Linked DNA regions of Mus musculus. The protein of the gene in region 2 purifies or fractionates together with the protein of the main gene of each other region. This does not show direct contact. Links are inferred from orthologs where the notes say so. Each region holds a gene or a part of one and is shown on either strand. Other genes may lie near its edges.

Region 1 (3,949 bases), on a different chromosome or scaffold from region 2:
TATAGATCGCATGTCTGAACTTTAAGTTCTAAGTTGGAAAAAGAACAGAATACTTGTGGAATATAGCCTGTGTGCACCATTTAGGGCGTTGGGGTTTAGAAGGACCTGGGCTCAAATCATATCTCTGTTTATTGCCAGTTTGCAAAGAAAGAGTGTTTAGGGTTGTAGGGACATGAGAATTATTATTGAAAGAATTCCTAAAGTTATCTCAGGTTATTCTTACAAAAAATAACTTGCAGATTGTCCAGTCAAAGGGATGTGACAGAACAGGTTTACTGCCAGGGACCACTGTTCCACATCCAAGCCTTCTCCTCTCCAGTCTTCCCCAACCCTCCCCTCCCCTTCCTTATTCCTGGGTAGATTTATTAAAGAAAAGTGACAAAAACTCCTGAGAGTGGGAGGAGTTTCAAGGCAGGAAAAGCTGAAATTCCAATTTAATCTGGACCTTTGTTTGGGAGGGGAGAAATGTCTCTTCTTAGAATACATTCACTGGCCAAGAAGGTTAAAACATGGTTCCAGAGTGCTGAGATGTTGATACGAGGAGCTAAGGATCTGGTTTTAGTGGATAGTAAACTTGTTTATTACTTTGGGCAAGTAATTTCTTCTCTCTGAGTCTCTGTTTACTGATTGCTGGTGCATGAGTCCTAATAGTAACAAAATGCACATGAAGTATGGGTGACCCCTTTATAGGCATGCCGCTTGAAACTAACCCTGTAAACTACCGTTTGTAATAGCGCTCCACAGGTGGTATTTTTCTAAATCGAAGCAGAACTCAATTATCTGAGTCTCAACTTAAGGCAGAGCCTTTTGGGTAGAAAGAGCCTAAGGAGCGATTTTGGAGTCATGAGTCTGGAACACCAAACAGATTGATACTCTGAGCTGTTCCACCTCCCGCTTAAATTAACTGATCCCGGCGGACTTTTACCCTCAACAAATATGGCGCTCGCCTTGGCTTCGGCCCGAATGCCCTCACCCACGAAACATGGCTACCGCTTCTTTTCTCCTAGTGTTGCACGCTGGAGTGCGCAGGTTCTGCCCTGAGTTAAGATGGCGTCCAGGCAAAGCTCTTCTTGCCCGGTTTCGGGTCGTTGCAGGGCGGCTTCACCGCGCGTGCCTGGGTGACCCCGCCTTGTTTCCGTAGGAAGAAGCGCCGGGAAAGATGGCGGCGGCTGCGGTTTGAATTCCAGCGGCGCCGCTTGACTGAGAACAAGAGCTGGGTTGGAGGGGGCGGGACCTGGGGAACCGAGCGCGCCGCGACTGCCGGGGAACCAGTGGCGCTGCCGCCGCCGACACCGGCGCCACCACTCTGCGTTCACGATGGACTCGGGGATGGAAGAGGAAGGCGCCCTGCCTGGGACCCTCAGCGGTTGCAGGTGTGGCCCTGGCTTTGGGATTCGTGGTACCTGGGTTGGGGTTCCCGTTGATGGCGACTCACTCCCTGGAGGCCTTCGGTTTGCTTGGGGATGGTCTCGGCTGCGCCCCGAGTGTGGTGGGACCTGGGTGTCCAGCCAGCACTACATTGGACTGTGTGTTGTGTGTTCTGGAGTACTTTGAGGACGATGTGTAGGCTAGGCAGGGGGGCTTTTTGAAAGAGTGTGAGGAGATGGGTCTAATTAGTAGGGGGTGGCTGGAACTGGACATCAGAGCACTTAGGTGGTTGATTCTTGTTTGGGGCTTTGCATTCATTATGGGGAGTGTAGTTGTTATTTTAGACTTTGTTTATGGGGTCACGGGACAAAGTTCTGTGGAGCCTTGGCTAGAGATGGACAAAATTTAATTAAAAAAACGGCCTATACCCTGACCACGTAGGTGACCTTGGTAAGTTGACTTCCCCACTGAAAAGTGTACTAACGCCGATGTGCACTCACCAAAAACGGGATGAGAATGAAAAGAAGCAATGGCTACCCAGCAGTTGTATTGGCTGACATTCAACCGTGGTGAAAAGGATGATGACTACCACTATTACAAGTTGTGGCTTCTCTTCAGATCCCCTGGGACCAGAAATTGGATTATTTGGGGCATTTAGAGCGGGCGGATGGCATGAGAACTAAACTAGGAGATCTGCTAATGCTCTCCTCCTTTCTCTCTCAGCCTTGACTGGACAGATGCTGCATTCATACCTGCTCATTCATCTCTTAATCTGCCCTAGGCCCTCCAGGTGCCTTGTCATCTTCAGGATGAAGTTCTCTACTGTGGCTTCCAAGTTTCTCTATAATTGGCTGCATCTGCCTCTCTAGCCTCCCCACCCCCCACCCCACCCCTTCCCAACCCTGTCTCTTCTCCAAGCCCTCTACCCTGTGCCTGACTGCCAAGCTCGGTCAGGAACGATCTTACTGAGTTGTTCCTTGTTCTCAGGCTTGGGTACCTGCTGTTTCTGCTGTGTCCCTTATTTACATCCAGGTTCCACTGCTAGGAGATCCACACTGACGGTCCCACCCTTGTCTGGGCTCTCTGTACTGGGCTCTCTAGCTCCCCTGACCTGTCTCTGTCCTAACGTGGTTGACAGTGACCAGCATAGAAATACAACCTAGGATGTATATTTAATTAAAAACTTAGTCGTGAACTGGGCATGGTAGCATATGCCTTTAATCCCAGCATTCAGGTGGATCCGAGACTTTAAGGCCAGCCTAATCTACAGAGAGTTCCTGGATAGGTAAGGCTATACAGAGAAACCCTGTCTGGAAAAACCAAACCAACAGTAACTTTCAAATAACATCATCATCAAAAGCTTTCTGGTAGTCACAATTTAAAAAAGAAAAGAAAAAGAAACAAGTGAAATTCCTTTCTTTGTGGTTGGTGCTGGAGGTTGATCCCAGGGCCTCTCACGCCTGTTCAGCTGGTGCCTTACCTGGACATAGCACCTTTGGAAGCAGGTGAATTAATCACATAGATTATTTAGTTTAATATTTCCATATGTGATTCTAGCAAACTCTATAGGAAAACTTGTTGATAAGGTATTTTTATCTTTTAACCTTTCATCTTTGGCATCTGGTATGAATTTTTACACCCAGATTGCTTCTCACTTTGGGCAAACTGCATTTCGACATATAGTTAGAGCAGAGTGGCATTTGTCAAAGCACTGAGTGAAAGGTGGTTCTATGAGGGGCTGCTTCTCTCCCACGGTTACACGTGGGACCCTGAAGCTCAGCCGAAACGAATGGTCTGGGGTCGATGATAAATCAGTACTTAAGTCCAAGCTTCCCGATTCCAAAGTCTGTTCTGCATTCTGACTAGTATGAACTAATGAAACGGAGTGTTCAAGGGGCTCGTGCAGAGCTTCTGGCATTGAACTGTCCCTTCAAGAGTGGCAGGACTATTCTGGGCCCAATGAGTCCTCATTAGGTGACCACAATAGGAGAGGATAGTTCCGATGATGAAAGCATCCCTTTTCGTTTTAATATACTGCTTTCTGAGCATCCTTCTCAGGGTAATTTGCAAGCCCCATGTGTATAGCCTAAACTGAGCCCAGTTTGTTCTTGAATTTTTGTTGCATTAGGTCAGAGTATACCTGACCCAAGTTTATCGAATATCAGGTTGCTCTAGCACATGGCCACTAAGTGCTTGCTGCTGTGTTAGCAGCAGACTGCAAGTACATGTTTAGCCTTTAGTGTAGTTTGATTTTTTTTACCATCATGGATGCCTGGAGAAACAGTCTGAAGAGAAGATGGGAGGGTGGAGTCAGATGAGGGTTTGATGGTTACTGAGAGAGAGAGCTTGGATCCAAGGGATTCTTGGGCTGTGAGAGTTCAGGAGAACCGTGATTCCTTAGTTAGCAAAGTACTTGCCTATTAAATGATGTGAGTTTGATCCTCAGATCCCACATAGAAACTGTTGGACATGGTGGTGCATGCTAGAGATGTTGAGATCGAGGAGAGCTGGGTCTGGCTAGTGAGCCAGCCCAGCCAAATCTGAGAAACCGAGGGCCCCGAAACAAGACAGAACAAAACAG
Region 2 (11,373 bases):
TCTGCCCTACACACCATGCTGCCCAGTAGAGAAACAAACGGAGCAACACAGTAACCAGAGTGCTGCACACAGGGTGTGACCCAGGGGACTCAGCAGGCAGCTATAGACCACGCGGGGAGTGACCCAGGGAACTCAACAGACAACTATAGACCACGCGGGAACTCTACACTCTTCCCTATATAAAGCCCCACAATTCACTTCTGCCCAGCACCGAGGCCAGGCCCATGTGTCCTATGACTTGCCACAGACAGTTCTGAGTAGCAGTCTTGCAGCTTGAGGACAAGAACCAAGTCTCACTTTTCTTTGCATCTATACGAAGCGCAGTGCCTAGTCTGAAGCAGACACTCAGGAGTCCTGAGTGAGAAGCGTCAGAGGACAGAATGACAAATATGCAGACATTTTCTGTGTGAGTCTGAGCTGCAGGATGATTTATCTCACAGCTACAGCTGGAGAGGAGACACACTCTCCCCATGAACATCCGTGACTGCTAAGTTCCCAGGAGAGCCAGCCCTTATAAAAGAAGCCAAGGAATGCCTATGTGGTCACCTACTAAAAAAGAACGACAAACAAATTTTACAAAGTGAGACCATTAGTCAAATCTCAAAGGCTCAATTTTTCAGGACGATATCTACTTGGAAAAGTTTAGGTCTGCCATAAACTTTCACACTGAAATTCAACAACTGCCTTAGAAGAAGAAAAAGCTTTGTGAAGTCACCAAAGAGTCAACATGTGAATCTCCAGTGTAGCCATAGGGCATGACGCCCATCCCTCACTACAGCAAGCCTGATAAAAGACATCACATCTCTACTGGATTTCGAAGGCAGAACTAAGTTCAACTAACTAGTGCAGTATTTCAATTACTACTTTTCTGTCTTTAAAAGAATCCTAAATTTAACCCGAAACCATTTGCTTAGACACAGAACAGTAAATCTAATTTATAATAGAACATTCAAGCCTTTCATTATATGAGCTACAGGAAAGCAACTCATTGCCTGCATCCCATTCACTAAAACACACCAAAGGCCACTAGAGCTAAATATCCACAGCAAGGTCAACAAATTATTTTTAAAACAGAAATTTTATCAAATCTCTTTCCCTGACTTCAAAGTCTGTAGTAGTTGTCTTTAGGATCAAATTCTTAGTCTTCCCTGGGGCCCGTGTCTTCTGAGTTCTTTCATTATACAATCTTGATCACCAACTCCAGAGTCTACCATTTAGTTCTAACAGGCAATTGTCTTTCTAATCGTGACATAGTGTGCTGTTTCTATCCTTTGATTTTCTCCTATAGCCTCTTTGGTAAACATTTCTCATTTCAGTATCCCACTAAGGGTCCACCTCTTTGAAAGTCTTTATTGGACCCTGTCTTAATGGAAAAGACCATTCCTTCTCTTGGCTGCCCTGCTAACCTTTCATGAAATACTTTTGTTGTTGCTGTTTTAGAATTGGATATAACCCATCTTTATTTTTACATCATCACATATACTCTAACACGTAGGCTTACTTCTGTGTACTGAATAAATGAATGAGTAAATGGATGGAAGAACAAGGAAAAAAAGCTTTATAAAGTATTTTATGTCTGCGCCCAGGTTTCCTGTGATATGACTGAGGGAGCTGATAACTCATGATCCTCCTGCTTCAGCCCATCTATTCCTGGTATTACAGGTGTGTGCCACCACTACAAGATAGTCTTGGAAGAGCATGAGTGAGTGAGTGAGTGAGTGAGTGAGTGTGCACGATATGCATGTGAGTGTAACAGAGATCAAAGAAAAATCTCAGCCCGCAACTTCCACTTTGTCTGACACAGGGCCTCTGTTGTTTGGGCAGAGTACACACAAGCTAACTTCCAGGGATCCTCCTAGCCTGGCCTCCCTCTCACCATAAAGGCACAGAAATTACAACTGTGCACTACTGTGTCTGGCTTTCCATGAGTTCTGATGTGAACTCAGGTCCTGCTGTCTGCAGTTTATTCACTGAACTGACTCTGTAGTCTTAAACTTAGAAATGATAATGATTGCTTTACTTCGTTAATTCGATGGTCTATCACAATTGGTTGTGGTTAACTTCTAACTGTCCATGAGAATCTTGAGCTATTCTGGCTTACCCAGCCTCTCGTTCCCGGCTGTTTCTACCTCTTAGCCATGACTGATCTACCCAAGCCGCTTTCTTGATGCCAGCAGTGAGAAGCAGCAATCTGCCTGTGTCCTGCGGAGGAGCCTGAGTGGAACAGGACAAATGACTCCCAAATGGGAGATGATTCTAAACAGTAATCCACACAAAAATAAAAATCAGAAATAATGAGATCATATGTGCTTATCAGTCAAAGCCGAGTTCATAATTCTGATTTTTCTCTTTTAACCCAAAGAAGACTATTTTCAAGTACCTCTGCCAGTTAACTGACAACTCTCTACTTCTAATTACCCTTTAAGAAACTTGTCAATCTGATAAATAAAAAGTTCAAAGACATAAGAAGCAAGAGAAAACTAAATTCATTTGTCAACAAATGATCCTAAAAAATTTTCAATCAAATATATATACTTATATTCATAACTAAGTTCCACCAAAGGGAACTTTGTGAGTATATCAAATTACTACATCTTAATTTGTTCACTATGTTTATAAATTGTTATTTATAAGAAATGCTGATGATTTTGAGAAAACATATATCTAGAATTTTGTTCATCTAAATACACTCATGATTATTACCAAATTACCAAAATTATAGAATAAGGGTTGGTTGGCGTTTTTATTATATGTAAAGACAGCTCTTGTCAAAAACAGGCTGTCAATCTACCAAACACCATCTAGACAAATGCAAGGTAAAATATCATTTCTTCAGTGGTGCAGCTGTATTCCAAATTCCCAACAGCTCTATCTAGTTAGAAACCATTTCACGGAGCAGCGAAGTGGAGACCATATCTATCGTCGATTGAAAAATCATGGTACGATGCAAAATTCCAAATTCATTAATAATAGCAATGTAAGCTCAAGTGGCCTCTTGACTTGCTACCTAACAGGAAGGTACACGTTAGAAATGAGGAATAAACTATATAGCAATGAAGGTTTTAAGAGCAGAAAGTTAATTATATATGGTTAATTTGTCATTTTACCAAATTGAAAATGAAATAATTAAAGAAAGTAATTTAGCCCTTCCTCCCAGTTTTAGATGATGATATGAATCCAGAAAATGGTACAGGAATGATAATCTTTCGTATTTAAGATAGTTAGCCTATCCAAATAGAGTCATCATTGGAAGCAACACAGTGTGTTATCACTGATAAACTTAAACGATGAATTGGCTATTCTGTGTGTCCTGAACCTGACTTTCAGCTGGGTACTCAAAAAAGACTGCTCAGCAGGACCCTTCGGTCAGAGGCTCTGAGACTAGCCTGCCCAAGTTCAAATGTCACTCCCTGATTAACTACTATGCAACCTTTAACAAGTTACACAGCACTTCTTTATCCAGTTTGAAAATGGGGTAACATCAGAGCCATTCCACAGGGTTTGAAATGTATGTATGGCAATGTGTGCCAAGTGCCAGATTAGTTCTCCAAAACGTTAAGAAGTTTGCATTTGCTGAACTTGATCTACTAATGACTTTCTTTGATCAGTTTCTTCCTACTCTCAAGGTCTCTTTTTCCTTTTCTCTTTCTTTTGAGGCAATATCTCACAATGCCACTATTGCTGGCCTCAACTTTGTATAGAGCAGGCTAGCCTTGAACTCAAAGAGATCAGCCTTCTGCCTCTCCAGTGTTGGGATTTAAGGTGTGTGCCACCTCACCCAGTCTAAGCTTCAAGGTCATTTCCAAAAACCATTATATAACCACTGGGGTAGAGGGTGGCTTTCCTACTCTACTCATGGGAGAATTAACGCCCAGCAGTTTTCACCCATTGACCTGGACATAGTTACATCTGTAATACATAGCTCCACAGACAGCTTGGAGATGTAATATATTTTTTAAAAGAACAAAAAGCATGGAGTTTTTTTGTTTGCTTGTTTTTCTTTTTGTATTAATAAGGCTATGTGAATAACATACTTAACTCAAAAATAAAACATTCTTGACTTACAAGGATTGAACACATCTCTGAGACTTGTAGCCTCCTGTTTCTAAAAGTTTAAGGTTCTGTGTATTAAATGATGAAAAATAAGTATACTCAAATTTTGGAAGACATTTATTTCAAGAGTAATTTTAAAAACACATGGGAGACTTATATAATGGCGAAAGTTGTTCTTTGAAACACCCAGTTCTCTGAGGAATTCAAAGTAATTTATGTCTAGAAACTGTGATGATCAGAATGGAATCCTTTAATTTTGTGGGTGTAGGAGCAAGGCCCTGGGTGCTCAAAGCTAACAAGAAACAAAACCAAAGCAAACCAAAGCAAACTAAAACAACACTGACAAAAACACAACAAAACAAAAAAAAAAAAACACCCAAACAAAACAACCTCCCCCAAACAAAACAAAAACAACCCCCCAAAGCCTGTTCATTTACCTTTATACCCAACTTCATTCCTTGGGAGTATTTTTAGAATTAAGCTCTAGAATTCCCTGTCTGTGGGAGGCACTTCCTCATCAAACTGCAAATCTTACCTTCCTATCTTTAATTAGCTCTTCAAACCAAACACTGTGCTGCTGGTAACGTCTTGTGGTCTAATTTACTCTCAGCTCCAGCACTGACACTCTGCCTTTCACCTGATGCTACACAGTAAGTGACACTTTAGGATCTTGTCCACAGGTCTACGAGGAAACCCAAGCAGGTGGTAGCTACTCTGAGAGAGGACAGATTAATTAGTGATGCAGAGGTAGTCAGAGCCTCAGAGCTGTTCTTTACTCTCTCGTTGATAACATGATCTCAATTCTTGTTTCTTCAGGTCTGGCACTTGGTTGGGTCTTGAGTTAGGATGATTTCGTAGACTAAACTCTTAAGTGTATCTCTTAAAGTGTATTCTGTGTATCAAGAGAAATTTAAATGATTACATTTAAAATATGAGCCACAAATTTTCAGGAATAATTCATCTGAAAAGTACACAGAAGAGTTGGGGACAGAGTGGTAAGCCATGTTCTGTCATTACGTTTTATGACATTGTACCACTTCTTTGCTACAGAAGAGCACCAGCACACCTGGCTGACACTTCCCCCTGTGAGCCCTGAGAGCTGAGCCATGACCGTCTCCTATATCCCATGGGACATCTGCTGTCTTCTTTCGACACTTCACAATATTTTTCAAATGATTCTAATGTTCTTCAGTTTCTATAAATAAGTTCACACAAGACTTTGTCATAGCTGCTAGTTTAAATGCATATCGTCTAGGGGAAGTGTATAGACTGCTGGAGAGTGGACTATCATTAAAAATATAAGAACTGTGCAAGATAGCACTTGCTAAGAAAATTACTGGGCTGATCCAACTATCAAGCATATTTTCATAACACAATTAGCATACATTGTACAAGAGAAATAGGGGAAAAGCAATGTTACATGGATATAGTATTTTGTCATACTTCATTTTTTGTGAGTCTGTACAATTAGTTACTACATTTGCACAATTACTAAGATAACAAGGAAGTCCTAATTCTACATCGGCTTTTCAAGTTGTCACATGCTCACCAACAGTTTGCCCTGCTGTTCCATGCCCTGGAACGAACCTTATTGATGAAACATAACCCGTTAAATCTGACTGTTGTTTACATTCCACAAAAGCAATAGCTAGACTCTCTTCTGTCAACTCAACTCTGCTTTGTTCATGAGAATCAAAAGCTGTTTGCTTCAAGCTAATTACAAGATTGGCTTCATTCTTCTGTTATAAACACAGACACAATGGAAGACGTTACTTACAGTAACACGAACAAATTGTCAGACTTACTTCAAGGACTGAGATGTCATTAACCTATGGCAATGTAACAAAAGTCAGGGACCGTTCTCTAATTATTGTGAATTATAAATTATAATATGAGCCGAATAATGGCACACAATTTTCTCACAGCCTGTTACACAACACGCATATATGTGTATGCTTACATATAAAACCAAGTTGCTACACAGAAACTCAATTCCCACGACCCTTTTGTCTTGAAATTTTGTACACAGTACTGAACGTCTGAACTTTCAGCTCTCGGAAGAAAGCACTTCAACTCTGAAATGCCTCTAAGTTTTACAGGCATCCTGGAACATTCCTGGATGTCTAGAGTAAACGCAACGCTGTCTCACTTATTTTTCCTCGAATGGATAAAGTTGCTGCTTGTATTTATGTCTGCCATCTCTAATCTCTTGGGTGAAAGAAAGAGCCTTAGACACTAAGGGTTAACGTCACCTTTGGAGACCCTCACGGACACTCACCTTGTGAGAAAACTGATATACATCCAGGAGAAGGAGAAAAAGCCAAGTCAACCCAAACGTACTACCTGTGGCTCCCTTAAAGGAGGGTCTGGGTGTTGGGGGCTCTGGGAGAAAGAAGAGCTAAGGGTGCGATCACAAAAGGACCATATTTGGGGACGCGTTCCAGACCGTGGCAGCCCTCCTCGCTCTAGTAAGAAAGGGGATCACAGGGACCTCGCTGCCCGCCTTCCCTCTCTCCAGTGAGCCCCGGGGCTTGGCCCTCACCCCCGAGCCTTCGTGGGGGAGGGGACAGAGGAGGAGGCGGCCGGCCCCCGCGGCCACTGCAAGGCCCGGCCCGTGGCTCGCGCGCGGCCTTGGGGGGGACACCGGCCCAGGGCGCTGCACCGCGCGGCGGCCCATCCGGCGGGAACCCAGCCAGGGCCTTCGACTCGACTCACCGCTCTCCACTTCGCTGCCTTTCTTGGCGATCGCAGTGTTCCCCATGACCCGGGAGTCCGCAAGCAGGGATGACGGAGGGGAGGGGACCGGGGCCGTCCCGCCGCCCGCCCCGCAGTCGGCAGCAACTTTGGCTAGGCTTTGGCTAGGCTCCCGCAGACCCTAGAGCGCGGCGTCCGGCTGCACGGAGGGGCTGGGTGTCCGGGAGAGATGCTGAGAGCTCTCCGGCAGAGACCGGGACCGTGGCGGTGGCGGCGGTGGCGGCGGTGGCGGCGGCGGCAGCGGCGGCGCGCGGACACTCCCCCTTCCCGAGCCCGCCCTCCACGCGCGTCCCCGACACGGCGCGTCCCCAGGAGCCGCACACCCGGACTGCGACCTCCGCCTCTTTCCGGGCGGGCGCGCCGGAAGTGACGCGGTCAAGCCCCCCGGCGGGCGGGAGCCCCTCTGTGCAGGGTTGTAGCGGTAACTTATTGCTTGTTGCGTGGATGCTGGGCTTGGCCGCGGAGGCTAAGCTCGAAGTAGCGAGGGACGTGGGGACCGTTAGTTTGGAAGCACCCCAGATCCTTCCTCGGCCTGGCATCCGGTGCCCCAGAGCCGGGCGGGGGGCACAGTGCCAGGGCTCGGCCTGCTCCCGCATCCGTGTGGCCCGCGTTCCGCACGCCGTGGTTGCTCTCGCTTGATCTTCCTGCGTGGCTGCAGGGACGTGCGTGCGCCCCTCCGCGTCCTGCCGACCCTGCTGACCCTGAGGTCAGCGTTGGCCAGGAATGTCTTTTCTCAGCTCCCAGCTGTCATTGGAACTTCTTCCCTTCGCTCTTCTAGGTATTCTCCCAACACACCAGGTCAATCACCAACATTCTTGACAGCTTATCCCTTCCCGAGTTCCTTCTTCATGGTCTCACCTGATTGCCCTCACAAATTCTGTCAGGCTTTCTAAGGAGAGATATGGGAATGTGTTGCCTGTTTTACACAAGTACGTTATGTGCATCAACACAGTCACAAATTTCAAAATAAACGCATTCCCAATTGATTGTTGCGCTTCCATGCATCTGAGAGTACTTGAGCTTTTCCGTGAGGTTATTAGAAATTAATCACCTAGCCCTCTGGTAGTTTTTGTTCTGGTTTTTTTTTTTTTTTTTTTTTTTTTGAGCTTTTGCTATCTAAAAAAAAAGCATTCCAAATTTAGAACAGAAAGATTAACTTCTGGAAGGGCAGAGACCATGTAAGTTTATTTTGTGTCTGCAGCACAAACCACAGTTGGCGCGTAATGAACGGATGGTTGTTGGCTGCTAAGGAGATTTCCCAGAACATTTTAAAAGTTTTGTTATTGGGGAAAAAAAGTAGCGGTGAGTGGAAGATTCTAAACAGATTCATACTTCTATTATTGGCAATTATGTTAAATTACCAAGCATGTACACCAAGTATACTGCGTTCTAAGTGTTGTACAAATAGTAATTAGTTTCCTCATAAAGTCCCTATGCAAATGTGGCAAGACTATCATTGTTTTACTTAAGATCCACAGAGGCACAGAGACATTAAAGGACTTATCCAAAGCTAATTAGAAGACCTTGAAATGAAGAAGGTAAAGCCATACCATCTCAAAAAGCGCCAGAATGGTATATTTATTATTTCTATTTAAAATCAATTGAAAGGTTATAACTTCAGAATAGACCATTGGTGCTCTTTCATTTCAACAAGCCATATTGTGTGGGGAAAATGTCCTTTACATACCAAGATAAGAAAATAACCTTAGTCACCAGATACTATTAATTGGGGGATACCACGAACTGGAATAAACTGTGACATAACTCTCAAACATACCCCTACATATATATCTCTTCAGACTATGCCAGGAACTTAGTGCACTATCATCGATATATATATACTGTATCAGTCACTTCTTCAGACTTTACTATTTGTGAAGATCTTCAAGTACTTGTAAAATTGATAATTTACCTGTTTCTCTGGCTAATCAGCTCTGGCGTTTTGGATTCCTAGATACAACCAAAGAACCCCCCACAAAAACTGAAGTGGGATAGTGTGGTGGTTTGAATAGGCATCACATCCATAGACTCGTGTGTTTGAATGCTTGGCCATAGGGAGTGGCTCTATTAGGAAGTGGAGCCTTGGAGGAAGTGTGGCCTTGTGGGGGTGGGCTTTGAGGTTTCCTATGCTCAAGCTAAGGTCAGTGACACAGTCCCTCCTTGCTGCCTCTGAATCAAGATGTAGAGCTCTCAGCTCCGTCACCTTTTCTGCCTGCGTGCTACCATGCTTCCCACTATGATGATATTGGACTAAACCTCTAAGATTGTAAGCCAGCCCTAATTAAGTGTCCTTTATAAAAGTTGCCTTGGTCATAGTGTCTCTTCACAGTAATAAAACCCTAATTAAGACAGATAGAAGTGTTCTGTCTCTCTGATAAGCAGCTGGGCTCCAAGTATGGGCTCAATCTTCATGTGGGTCCCCCAACAACTGGAAAGGGGGCTGTCCCTAAATCTATTGCCTGTTTGTGGATCCTGTTTCCCTAACTAGGATGCCTTGTCTGACCTCAGTGGGAGAGGATACACCTGACCCTACAGAGACTTGATGTGCCAGGGTCGGGGGAGGGGAGTGGGGAGGATACTGGGGGGGGCTCACCCTCTGAGATGTGAAGGGGAGGGGATGGGCAGAGGGACTGTGTGAGAGGAGACTGGGATGGGGGAGCAATCAGGATGTAAAATGAATAAATTAATGGGAAAAGGTGTGGCTTTTGTTTCTACTGTAAGTCAGACAGACATCTGTGTTGTGGTGAATTGCATCCCCTCCATATGAAATGTCACTGAATTGGAAAGATAGACAATTAGTTTAGTCCGTGAGAATGTTGGGTATATTGTTTCCTAAGTTTCCACTAAATACAAACAGAATACCAATACTAAGGGAACACTGGGCCCATACCGATAATCCCAGAGTGAGGAAGCAGAGACAGGTGGATCTCTGAGTTCAAGGTCAGCCTTGTCCACATAGTGAGCTCCAGGGTAGCCAGGGTTACACAGACTCTGTCTCAAAGAGAGACGGGGGCGTGAGTGGTGGAGAAAAGAAAACAAGTAGACCACAGAATATGAGGTTTTGTCAGCACCCAGTGATATCACACCCTTTTCCAGTTTTAGCTTTGTGAATGTGAGTTTTGTATACGTTAAAAGTCTACTAAAAATCACATACACTCCAAATGTTATCGACTTTGTCTGGGAAGGACCTTCCTAGACCCCTTAGAATACTCCTGTTGCCTCCCTAACAGTGACTTTTACTATGTATACAGGCCTGAAGACTAGCTTAAATGATAAAAGTGTGTATGATTTTTCTCTTCCCTTAACATTATTTTCAATCAGGAGTCTCTAGTAAGAGAGAATCTTTCATTTATCACTCATTTGGAAAAGAGGCCGTTGGCACCTCTTAGAAACGTGGGATCTTAAGAGATGGCTCATCAGGTAAAGTTCTTACTTGGCAAACTTGGGGACCAGGTTAGTGTTTCTACAGCCTGCTCACAAGACTGGGGATGCTGGCTACCAGGGAAGGAGGAAGAGGTGGAATCCTGAGAGCAAGCTCACTAGCCAGGAGAGGTGAGCCAGAGGGTAGAAACTAAGAACTCGAGGTTCATCAAGTCACGCTGCCTCATAGAAGGTTGGAAATGATGGAGGGAGACTCCTAACATCAGTGTGGAGCCTGCACATGCTAACACATGTGTGCCTCCACACACAGGTGTGTCCACGTTATGTGAACATGCATACACGCATACATAAAAGGAAGTTATGTATACCCTCACAACATCCTGACGATAAGTAAATTTTTTTTAAAAAAAGTCATCTCTTTTTTTCTCTGTCCATTTTAAGAGGAAAGTAAATCAGTTGTTTATAGAAACCATGATCAGCAATTTTGAATTTCTTATCCTTTCCATGCTATCATTATGGTTTGTTTATACTGCTCACTTAGCAATTATTATTTGTCTGCCCTATTATTAGAGACCCGTGATTGAAAATAATGTTCAAAGACAGCACCAAATTATGCCTAGTTACTTTTGTCATTCATGCTGGTCACTAGACACATATGCAGGATTGATACGGCGGTGGGGGTTTCTAGGTAATTATGCTTTACAAGTATGGTTATTGATTAGTTAATGCTAATGATCACTTATAATTGTACACATGAAACTTTTGATGATTAGAAAAGCATTCTCAATAGGAAATCAGCATGCACGTACAATCTAAAAGACGATCTCAGAATCAGGTTTTTCTGAATTGTACAAATGGCAAAAATCTTTAGCTGTCCAGCTGTCCTGGAATGGTCGAATGGAGCACTGGCTGCTTTTGGCCACCAATCACTTTGCTACACCATAAGCAAGCATGAGGTAAGCCTGTATTTCGTCTTTCTACAGACTGTCACAGCAGGACGCAGGGCGTACAGAGAAAGATAGTCCTTCCATAGCATATTTTCACTAACCTATGAGCATGCAGTGCTGTGTAGACAGGAAAACCAGCGTGAACTGCTTTAAAAATTGGTTTTGTTATTGTCGTTGTTGTAAAAACATTCTTGTCTTTTTTTTTTCTTTTGGTTTTTTTCAAGGCAGGGTTTCTCTG

The links.
Region 1: the proteins of Prkacb (region 2) and Cdk5rap2 purify together in Homo sapiens (affinity purification with mass spectrometry; 4 studies listed by BioGRID and IntAct, counting the BioPlex papers as one, with this or other methods). This does not show direct contact. The link is inferred for Mus musculus from reciprocal best matches to the Homo sapiens genes PRKACB and CDK5RAP2.

What each region holds. Positions count from the first base shown.
Region 1 is NC_000070.6:70,407,636-70,411,584, reverse strand, and holds the start of Cdk5rap2 (CDK5 regulatory subunit-associated protein 2), read left to right. Parts: upstream 1-1,149; 5' UTR 1,150-1,317; coding exon 1,318-1,373; intron 1,374-3,949. UniProt on the Homo sapiens protein: Potential regulator of CDK5 activity via its interaction with CDK5R1. Negative regulator of centriole disengagement (licensing) which maintains centriole engagement and cohesion. Involved in regulation of mitotic spindle orientation.
Region 2 is NC_000069.6:146,805,870-146,817,242, forward strand, and holds the start of Prkacb (cAMP-dependent protein kinase catalytic subunit beta), read right to left. Parts: upstream 7,078-11,373; 5' UTR 6,815-7,077; coding exon 6,769-6,814; intron 6,762-6,768; exon of another isoform or gene 6,332-6,761; intron 1-6,331. UniProt on the Homo sapiens protein: Mediates cAMP-dependent signaling triggered by receptor binding to GPCRs.